Linked DNA regions of Arabidopsis thaliana. The protein of the gene in region 1 purifies or fractionates together with the protein of each later gene. This does not show direct contact. Each region holds a gene or a part of one and is shown on either strand. Other genes may lie near its edges.

Region 1 (5,217 bases):
ATTATGGCAACGTCGTGGGTCCATTGTGTATCTTTAAATCATAAACCGTCTCATAACATTGGCCGCCATATATTTAAGAAATAAGAAAAATACAAAACTAGCTTTCTGACTTCTGCTAAAGACAAAAATAGCTAGGTTTAATTAAGAAGAAACTGTGTGATTGTGTCGATCTTGGTAGGTCAATGCTTCATATTTATACTAAATTGCTTGCAAACAGTGAGTTTTATCTTTAGCAGAAGTCAGAAGTCTGTTTGTGACTTCCACGATGCAGAATCACGTACAGTTTGTATAGCTTGGTTCACACATTTCAGGCTAGTTCAAGGTTTGTGGTTTTCTTATCCACTTATTTATTGTATTTGTCCTGAAACAAACAAGCATATATATAACTCTTCTTCGTTCTTTTGAATCTTAAATAAAAGTCATAATAATAGAAAAACATTTCTCATTCATTTGTTTGTGTTGTATATATATAATATTTCTATTATGAAACTGATGGTAAGGTGAACAAAAACAAAATTTTGATTTGGAAAAGTATTATGTTCGTAATAATTGGATCACTGCTTACGTAGTATAATTGAATACAAGTTTGAAAACATTATTTTACTAAAGTATAATCTTTTCAAACTTTAATAGCAATGTTTAAACTGTGTGGTATTAAATATTCATTAGGTCTATGATTGATGATGTAATTACATTAGATTCTAATGTATGTTGGTGGTAAATAGATAAGACTGGCAGGTAAAAAAAAAACAAATTTCATAAACAGTAGAAACATCACCAAAATTGTGTTCATAATAACTGTAAATTGTGTTCATAATAACTGTCTCATTATATATATTTTTCACTTGGCAAATCTCCTATTTACTACGTTTTGAGAAATGATGTTAAGAGAAATGATGATCTAATATAATTAACAAATACTTGAGAGGATGTTTATACAAAAACTACAGAGAATCCAATCCATCCATATGAATAGCAACATTCCACATGCTGCATTACAATCTAACTCTACTCTATAAAGCAAATCGCAACGCTTTCTTCTGCGGCAAACACACAGATTCTAACCCGAGACTGATGATCTCGATTTTACCTTTAGAGGCGTCTGGATTTGTTAGGAGGTGCGTAACCTGACATACCCATTCCGGGATCTTTCCTTCTTAGCTGTTGCTGCTGGTGCGGTTGAGCCATCCCGCGCTGCTGCTGCAGCGGAACACTCGGGTTAAGCCCTGCCTGTGCCGGGAAATTATAAGCCATCATGCCTTGAGATTGCTGCATCCTCTGCATGTTATGTGCAACCATTGGTCTTGGCATCGATCTACTGCCCATTCCATGAGCTCCTGCCATGTTCCCTGCTACGTTTCCTGCTGCTACTGCTTGAGGCGGATTGATGCTTGTCGTGCCTTCGAAATCGGTGTTTGTATCTACTGGACGAGTTGGGTAATTCACATTCTTCTCCATCGGTTGGCTGGCTACAAATGCGTTCCGTCCTGGGAGAGGATCCATTCGGAAATACTCGTGTTCTAGTGCTTGTGAAGCCGTGATCCGCTTTAGAGGATCATATTCCAGCATTTTGGATAACAGATCATACGCAGGACTTTTCTGATTCAGGTGAACCACGTTGTGGAGACCCACACTGTCGTATTTGTGAGCTTGAATGTGTTGAACATCATTTTGCCAGTGTGGAAGGTTAACTAGTGTTGGCCATTTATCCATCGTCGGGTGGCCTAAGATCTTGAATATCTTGTCAAGTTGATCTAACTGGAAAGGGTTTTGAGACGATTTCGCTTCTGCTCCTTGAAACAACGGTTTAAGAGTTAGTAACTCCGCGAATATACACCCAACTGCCCACATATCAACAGCGCTCGTGTAGTGCTTCGAACCAAGAAGCAGCTCTGGTGCTCGGTACCAGATTGTGACCACAACTCCGTTATCCGATAGTGGTTTCAACGGAGCTTGATATATCCTTGCGAGCCCGAAATCAGCTATTTTCACTATTCCGTGCTCTTCTGCATCACCCATAACCAAGATATTCGACGGTTTCAAATCTCTGTGTATAATCCAATTACTGTGAAGATAGTTCAATCCGTTGAGAAGCTGCCAGAGCAAAGACTTAACTGTGTATGTGTTTAACGAATGGCCGACTTTGTCTCTGTGGTGCCTGATGATTTCATAGAGATCGTACTCGGCATAATCAAAGGCAAGATACAGAGACATGTCTGCAAAATTGATGTGGACATTCACAAGCTTCACGACGTTCTCATGGGAAATCTCTCTAAGCAACATGATCTCGCGGATAGCAGTCGGGGAAACTCCATCTCCATCTTTGGACTGCTTAAACTTCTTGATAGCAATAGGTCTTTTAGGCGGAGTCTTGGTTCTAGCCAAGAAAACAAGACCATAAGTGCCTTCACCAATCTTACCAACGAGATTGTACTGTTGCAGCCACTCTGGTTTCTCACTAGTGCTGTTTGAGCTGTTGGATCTACTGGAACTCCCATCTCCCATTGCTTTTTAGTATTATTCTCTACCTCAATGTCCTTACCATGTGAATCGGAAAAGGGGTAGAGTCTAACAAAACAAAACAATCTTGGTTTCCTCTTTGTAGTTCTCCTGAAATTTGAACAAAACTTTGGAAAATCAGCCAAAGGAATCAAACCGTACATGTAATCTATCTAGATTCTAGACTCAATCAAGTGATCCAGAAAACTTACAAGCAAGAAACTTCACAGAAAAAGATCTAGGACTCCTCACAAACCAAATTCCAAAAGGAACGTTTCAAAATTAGCAGACAATAAAATTCACATCCCTCAGAAAACTTCATATGAACAAATTCAGACACAAAGACTCCAAATTATCAGCAATTGACGTCTTATCAAATCTCATATTCAAAATAGAATTCATCTACATCGAGACACGAAAGCTCGAGACTTTACTTCAAAAGATGGAAAAGGGATCAATCAATTCAGCAGAAATTACCAAGCTCCAAAGACCAATAACCAGAGGAAAACCCTACAAATTCAATACCCAGAGCTACGGTGCCCTAACCTAATCAAAGACCAAAAAATTTCGATACCACTTTCAAATTAAAAACTTCGAGGCCTTATACGATCTGTTTTTACATTTCTCAAAAATCGACGATCAGGAAAATAGAAATACGTAAAGGATCTGACCGGATAAGGCGGTCGGATGAATGATGGGAAGAGGAGCTGAGCTTGGAGAACCTCGGAGATGGAGGAGAGTAGACAAAAGCGAGAAAATTCCGGTGAGACGTCACGGAAGGGAGAAGATTGCGTTTTCCAGAAAACGGTGACGTTCCAAGCAGCCGACGCTGAGAATGGAAACTAGATTTGTAATTTTTTTAGCCACTTGCTCCAACTACGCTATTTATTTATTAGTAAATTCATTTATTTTTGTGTTCAAATAAGTAATTTCATTTAAATCATCGATATACATTAGTAGATTGGATATTTCTCATCAAAGATTTAATGATTTATAGATAATTTTATCAAAAGAGAAATAAATTGTGTTTTTTTATATATATGTCAGTTATTAATATTCTTAGAAAGTAGAAAATTGTGAAAAGAGGGAAGAAATTAAAAATATTAACAGTATAGAAAAACAATAAATGTTGGAAAGAAATGAAAAACAGTAAAATTATAAATTTTGTCCAGTTACTACAGTTTTTTTTTTTCCTTTTCACTGTCTAAACAAACACAAATATCAGATTAACAATGACCTTGTCTGAAGATTGTAGCAACTAAAAATAGACCTCAGTGAAACAGGTGTGAAGCAGTCATTCACAAACCAGAATCAAAAGGCTATATTGGTTATAGTATCTCAACAACACCTCGGCTCACGATTTTGCCTTCGTTGAGATCTTGAAATGCTTTTCCTGCATCTTCAAACTTGTATTTACTTGAGACTGCGTTTGTGAGATTGAAAATCCCTGACTCTGCCAATTTCACTACTTTAGGAAGATCCTGTCTTGCTCTTCCTCCATAAGATCCTATAACTTTTATCTTCACAAAAAATTGGAAAAACAGAACAAAAAGAGATTCAATATCATGATCTTAAAAGACAATCTCAGTACCAGAGACTTTCTTCTAACAAGGCCGAGAGAGAGAGAGTAAGAACCCCAAACCTTTCTACGAACAAGTCGATTTATGTCAATTTCTCCAACGGAACCAGCTTGTGAGAGTCCAATCATCACAGCTTTTCCACCATCTTTCACACTTAGTGTGCACTGCATGAAAGTTTGAGGCTTTCCCAAGGCTTCAACAGCAACATCAACACCCATCCCACCGGTTATTTCCTACGAAGAAGAAACAGTTTTTCATATTTATATCAATCAATGGTTCATCTTCACAAATAAGAGGTCTTGAATCAACCATACTCTTATCCTTTCAACAGCATCTTCTTTAGCAGCATTGACAATATGAGTAGCACCAAGTGTCTTGGCCTTCTGTAATTTATCATCCTGAACATCCACAGCAATGATATCCGAGGCTCCAAAAGCCCTTGCGATCTGCAAACAACTGAAGCAACAACTCAAAGATGGTTATGGTCATACAAGAAGCAATAAAACCCAAATCCGGTAAAGAAAAGAAAATGCCACACATTTAACATACCTGGAGCCCACACCACCAATTCCAATAACTGCAATAGAATCTCCAGGACGGATCTCAGCAGCATGAGCCATAGCACCATATGCTGTAAAAACAGCACATCCCAGAATGGCAGATTCAGAGTAGGGCAAAGACTCTGGTAGAGGAGCTAAACCATGAGCTGGTGTAACACAGTACTCAGCCATCCCTCCCATACTATACATATACACTGGTGAATCTGCCAGAAATTAAGAAATGTAATTAGGTAAAACAATCACAGTTCTCCTAATATGCCACCTGATGTTTAAAAAGTCTTCAAATTTACCATCATGTCGCAAAAAGAGACGAGTTTCGCCATCGTAAAGAGTTCCCTTGGCTCTGTTGTAAGCAAAGAAGTCTTCACATAGATCATCATGGCCCTGTATCCAAATTAAAATATCAGCTAAAAAGCTACAGTTCTCAGATTAGAGAATCCGATGAAAGCAATACAATTTCGTTCTCACCTTAGCACAATAAGAACAGGTTCCACAAGGCATAATGAAAGCTCCAACTACACGAGACCCGATTGGAAATCTGAAGAAAAGTTGAGACATTTAGGATTTCTTCAAAACAT
Region 2 (4,771 bases), on another chromosome or scaffold:
TTTTTGTTGTTGTTGTTTCCTCTGAAAAGGGATATGACAAACCAACATTGATGAGGTTCCTGGTGGCAAGATCAATGGACCCAGTCAAGGCAGCAAAGATGTTTGTAGATTGGCAAAAATGGAGAGCCTCCATGGTTCCTCCAACTGGATTCATCCCTGAGTCAGAAGTGCAGGATGAATTGGAATTCAGAAAGGTCTGTCTTCAGGGTCCGACCAAATCCGGACACCCATTGGTGCTTGTCATAACCTCTAAGCATTTTGCTTCTAAGGATCCAGCTAACTTCAAGAGTAATCACCTCTCACTTGCTTCTGACCTTTACTTTCGTTGGAAATAATCTGTCCCTTGACTTTCAGTGACTTTTGTATTCATAGAACTGATCAGCTTCTTTCCTGGTTCTCTAATTATTGAGTAGTTTCATTTGACTTCAAATGAATGAAGTTTTTTGAGTCCATCTATGTGTTTTCCTTGAGTTGATTCTTGCGATAATTATCTATGAACTAATCTTTTATCTGTTTGATGTTGCAGAGTTTGTTGTTTATGCGCTAGACAAAACAATCGCAAGGTGTTTACACATTATTGAAACCAAAACACTTCAATAATCTTCCGGTTAGTTGGTTGTGAGACAAGCTTTTTGGTTTTTATGTTTCAGTGGCAACAATGGCAAAGAAGTTGGAGGTGAGAAATTAGTAGCCGTTATTGATCTGGCAAACATTACATACAAGAACCTTGATGCTCGTGGATTGATCACTGGCTTTCAATTCTTACAAGTAAGCATCTCCCTTCTTCCTGAAACAATATAGTTATCACACAAAAAGAAGTCCTGTCTATTAAATTTGGAAAATGTTTCTCTAGTCTTACTACCCGGAACGCCTTGCAAAATGCTACATTTTGCATATGCCCGGATTCTTCGTGACCGTTTGGAAATTCGTCTGCCGTTTTCTAGAGAAAGCAACTCAGGAAAAGGTTTGATCTTTAATCTCCTCTTGATGTATCTATCTCTAATGGTTCTTGAGCAACGAATCACATAAATTATGATTTTGCTGTTGCATAGATTGTGATAGTTACGGATGGAGAAGAACAGAGAAAATTCGAGGAGGAGATCGGAGCAGATGCTTTACCGGAAGAGTACGGTGGCCGAGCTAAGCTCACAGCAATCCAAGATGTTCTTCTTCCTCAGGCTGCTCCAGTAACTCTAACAAACAATAATGTTTAGCTCTTTATTTTTGGAAGCATTAACCTGAATATTTGTAATGGTCAGAACATAACTAGTGGTACATCTCTAAATTTCCAAAAGAAGCAATGAAAACATGAGAAAGTAATGCGAATATATTCAATCTGGTGACTGAGTGCTCGCTCTTGCTTATCTTTTCTTATTCACATCATAAGTAAGCTGTAAAGCAGGATTGATCAACAGACCAGACTAACTTCTAGAAACTTAATGTCCTCTTGTTGTACGTGTAAGATTCCAAAGTTAGCTATAGATGTCTTTGAGCTAAAAACCAGAATCACGAGCTCTTAAATATGATCCCTAAGCCTTGTTATATGACAAAAGACTTTTCAACAACTTAATATTTCCAAAAGAAGAAATGATGAAACACATGAGAAAGTTGTGTGAATATACTCAATCTGGTGAATGAGCAGTTTCAAACATCATGCTGTTTCTGTATCTTAAATTAAACAATCTTGCTGTTTTGAATTTTGAAGATGTTGGTCAATTCACTAACACACTTTAAAGTCCCAAGCTTTTTTCTATCAGCCGCCTCCAAAATCTCTCTATCTCTCTGTCTCTCACTTCTTCTTCCTCACGGCGGCGACAATGGCGACGTTCACTCATCAAACCCCACAAACCCATTTCCTCTCTCGCCTTCCTCTCAGAGCTAAACCTAGACACTTCTCCGCAAGAGTCAAAATGTCTCTCCAAGAATCTGCGCCTTCACTCGCCGTCGTTGGCGTTACCGGAGCCGTCGGACAAGAATTCCTCTCCGTCTTATCCGATCGAGACTTCCCTTATAGCTCCATCAAGATGCTTGCATCGAAACGCTCCGCAGGGAAGCGTGTTGCCTTCGATGGCCATGAATACACGGTGGAGGAGCTCACGGCGGATAGCTTCAACGGTGTAGACATAGCTTTGTTCAGTGCTGGTGGATCCATAAGCAAAGAGTTTGGTCCTCTGGCGGCGGAGAAAGGAACCATTGTTGTTGATAATAGCTCGGCTTTTAGAATGGTTGATGGAGTTCCGCTTGTGATTCCTGAAGTGAATCCAGAAGCAATGAAAGGGATCAAAGTTGGAATGGGCAAAGGGGCTTTGATTGCAAACCCTAATTGCTCCACCATTATCTGTTTGATGGCTGTTACGCCTCTTCATCATCACGCAAAGGTTCGATTTTTATTCTGAAATCTGCTTAGTCCAAAATTTTGAAGGGTAGTTAGAGAATCAATGGAAGCTTTAGACTTTAGTGCTCTGAATAATGTTTGATTGGCTATAATAGGTGAAGAGAATGGTGGTTAGTACATATCAAGCAGCTAGTGGTGCTGGTGCTGCAGCTATGGAAGAGCTTGTTCAGCAGACTCGTGAGGTTTTGTTTCTATTTCAGCCTTCTTTGATTGAATTGTTTAATGATTGTGCTGAGTTGTGATTCTGCTTCTTCGTCTTCTTTGCATTGGTGTGTTTTCTTAGGTTTTAGAGGGTAAACCTCCGACTTGTAACATCTTCGGGCAGCAGGTGAGTGCTTAATTTGCTTATAGTTTGTATTTCGAATGTGCTGATTATGAAATCCCTTTTTGAGTAATGTGATGGTTTTGTATGTTGTTCTGCAGTATGCATTTAACTTGTTTTCACATAATGCTCCTATTCTTGACAACGGTTACAACGAAGAGGAAATGAAACTTGTGAAGGAGACAAGGAAGATCTGGGTGAGTGGTTACTTAAGTGCTATTTTGTGTTCATTTCACTTTGATCTTTTGTTCAAAAATTTTAGATATCTCACACCAATTTCTTGCCCTTCACAGAATGACACAGAAGTAAAAGTAACAGCAACGTGTATACGTGTTCCAGTTATGCGTGCTCATGCAGAGAGTGTGAATCTTCAGTTTGAGAATCCTCTTGATGAGGTAATAACACACGTCGAACCCGATTTCTACTGATTCTGTGTTGTTGTGTTACCTTATGATTTCACTCACTGATATGACAATTTGAATCATAATTTGAAGTTTTAAACCACATTCTATGGTTTTAATTTAACTCAAGCCATTGAAAAATGTGGAGCAGCATGTAATCAGCATAAGTAGGCTTGGATAGTTCTTGATGCACTTGCAGAGTTAAACCCTGAAGTTGTTCTTTGGACTTGCTCTGGTAGCATGTATTGTGATTCTTGTTGCGCAATTAAAAGAATCTTATGATCAAGTTCTTATTCAGGTTATAACGGTTTTTCTTACTGTATCATAACAGAACACAGCAAGGGAGATACTGAAGAAAGCACCTGGAGTTTATATAATAGATGACCGTGCTTCAAATACTTTCCCTACTCCACTCGATGTCTCTAACAAAGACGATGTAGCGGTTGGTAGGATAAGGCGAGACGTGTCTCAAGATGGCAATTTCGGGTAAAGTCTCACTCTTTTCTACTGAATTTGAAGCAAATGTCTTTGCGATATGCCTAAAAGGATATAACTTTGTGAATTCAGGCTGGACATATTCGTTTGTGGAGACCAAATACGCAAAGGAGCTGCTCTGAATGCTGTTCAGATCGCTGAGATGCTTCTCTGAATTTGAACCCGCTCTCACTTTGCTTCTTATGAAATTCTTGACAAAGAGATCACTGTATTATTAGATTTGAGCCAAGAATTTGTCTCATTTTTTGTTCTGTGAGTTTTCTATTTTGACCAATTTTGTTACTTTGATTCATAAAGTTGTCTCTTAAATCTGAACTCATCATGCACACGCTTGAACCTCTTGGCAATTTTCCGGTTCGAATCTGTACCGACTTGGTTGATCTCACCGAAGACAACCGGGCTCCACAATTATTTGACACACTGAAGACTGAACCAGTGGGGGCCCACTTTATTGATAGTTATAGCAAATATTTACTTGTTTAGTGGATATTATCAAATCCTAAAATCACTCCTTCGTTACTAAGACTAGGGAGGAGACCCGCGTTGTTTTTGGTTTTGTTTTTGGTTTTGTTAGTATGCACTAACCACTTCGATTTTTTTTACTGATCTTTGATTAAAAAGGGAATATCTTTGTTATTTGCTAATCTTATCTTTTGATTTCTACATTTTTGTAATCTATGTATAGTTTTACATTTTTTTTTCATGTTGTTACCGGTTATATGCTAGAATTTATAGGATAATAGACCAAACTTACTATCTTGTAAGAATATTTTTTAGAGTTATATATATCTAAGCAATGCATTTGTTACATTGGTCTTGTTTTTATATATTTTATTTTAAATTAAAAATACAATGGAAATCTCTCTCTCTCTCGCATTAAGCGGTTGCTGCAGAGGATAGCGAAGAACAGAGACTAACGACGAAGTTATTTTACACATCGTTGCCATTGTTAATTTTGGCCCAATATGAACCCGCCCATTTGTTTTTTCTCTTTGTGTCTCTGTTAAAATCTTAGAAACTACTCTTTGGTTTGGGGAAGATTTCACTTTTCAACGTCTCTTCGCGAATTAGCCAAAAAGAGTTGGATTATAACAATATTAACATTGAAAGTACGATATGCTTAGATAATTAATTAAAAGTTTGATTTTATTGTAAATA

What was found.
Region 2: the proteins of CDKE;1 (region 1) and AT1G14810 purify together in Arabidopsis thaliana (affinity purification with mass spectrometry, with the first as the bait; one large-scale study listed by BioGRID). This does not show direct contact.

Annotation. Positions count from the first base shown.
Region 1 is NC_003076.8:25,462,553-25,467,769, forward strand, and holds CDKE;1 (cyclin-dependent kinase E;1), read right to left. Parts: upstream 3,371-5,217; 5' UTR 3,171-3,370; intron 2,611-3,170; 5' UTR 2,506-2,610; coding exon 1,093-2,505; 3' UTR 810-1,092; downstream 1-809. Other genes in the region: AT5G63620 (GroES-like zinc-binding alcohol dehydrogenase family protein), read right to left, coding at 3,828-4,012, 4,135-4,312, 4,394-4,535, 4,629-4,842, 4,930-5,023, 5,108-5,177. UniProt on the Arabidopsis thaliana protein: Involved in cell differentiation. Required for the specification of stamen and carpel identities and for the proper termination of stem cells in the floral meristem.
Region 2 is NC_003070.9:5,101,680-5,106,450, reverse strand, and holds AT1G14810 (semialdehyde dehydrogenase family protein), read left to right. Parts: upstream 1-1,600; 5' UTR 1,601-1,817; coding exon 1,818-2,378; intron 2,379-2,490; coding exon 2,491-2,577; intron 2,578-2,678; coding exon 2,679-2,723; intron 2,724-2,818; coding exon 2,819-2,914; intron 2,915-3,010; coding exon 3,011-3,112; intron 3,113-3,147; exon of another isoform or gene 3,148-3,269; coding exon of another isoform or gene 3,270-3,299; exon of another isoform or gene 3,300-3,449; coding exon 3,450-3,604; intron 3,605-3,685; coding exon 3,686-3,767; 3' UTR 3,768-3,892; coding exon of another isoform or gene 3,893-4,013; 3' UTR 4,014-4,027; downstream 4,028-4,771. Other genes in the region: AT1G14820 (Sec14p-like phosphatidylinositol transfer family protein), read left to right, coding at 30-288, 527-563, 651-768, 854-964, 1,053-1,214; AT1G14800 (Nucleic acid-binding, OB-fold-like protein), read right to left, coding at 3,893-4,013.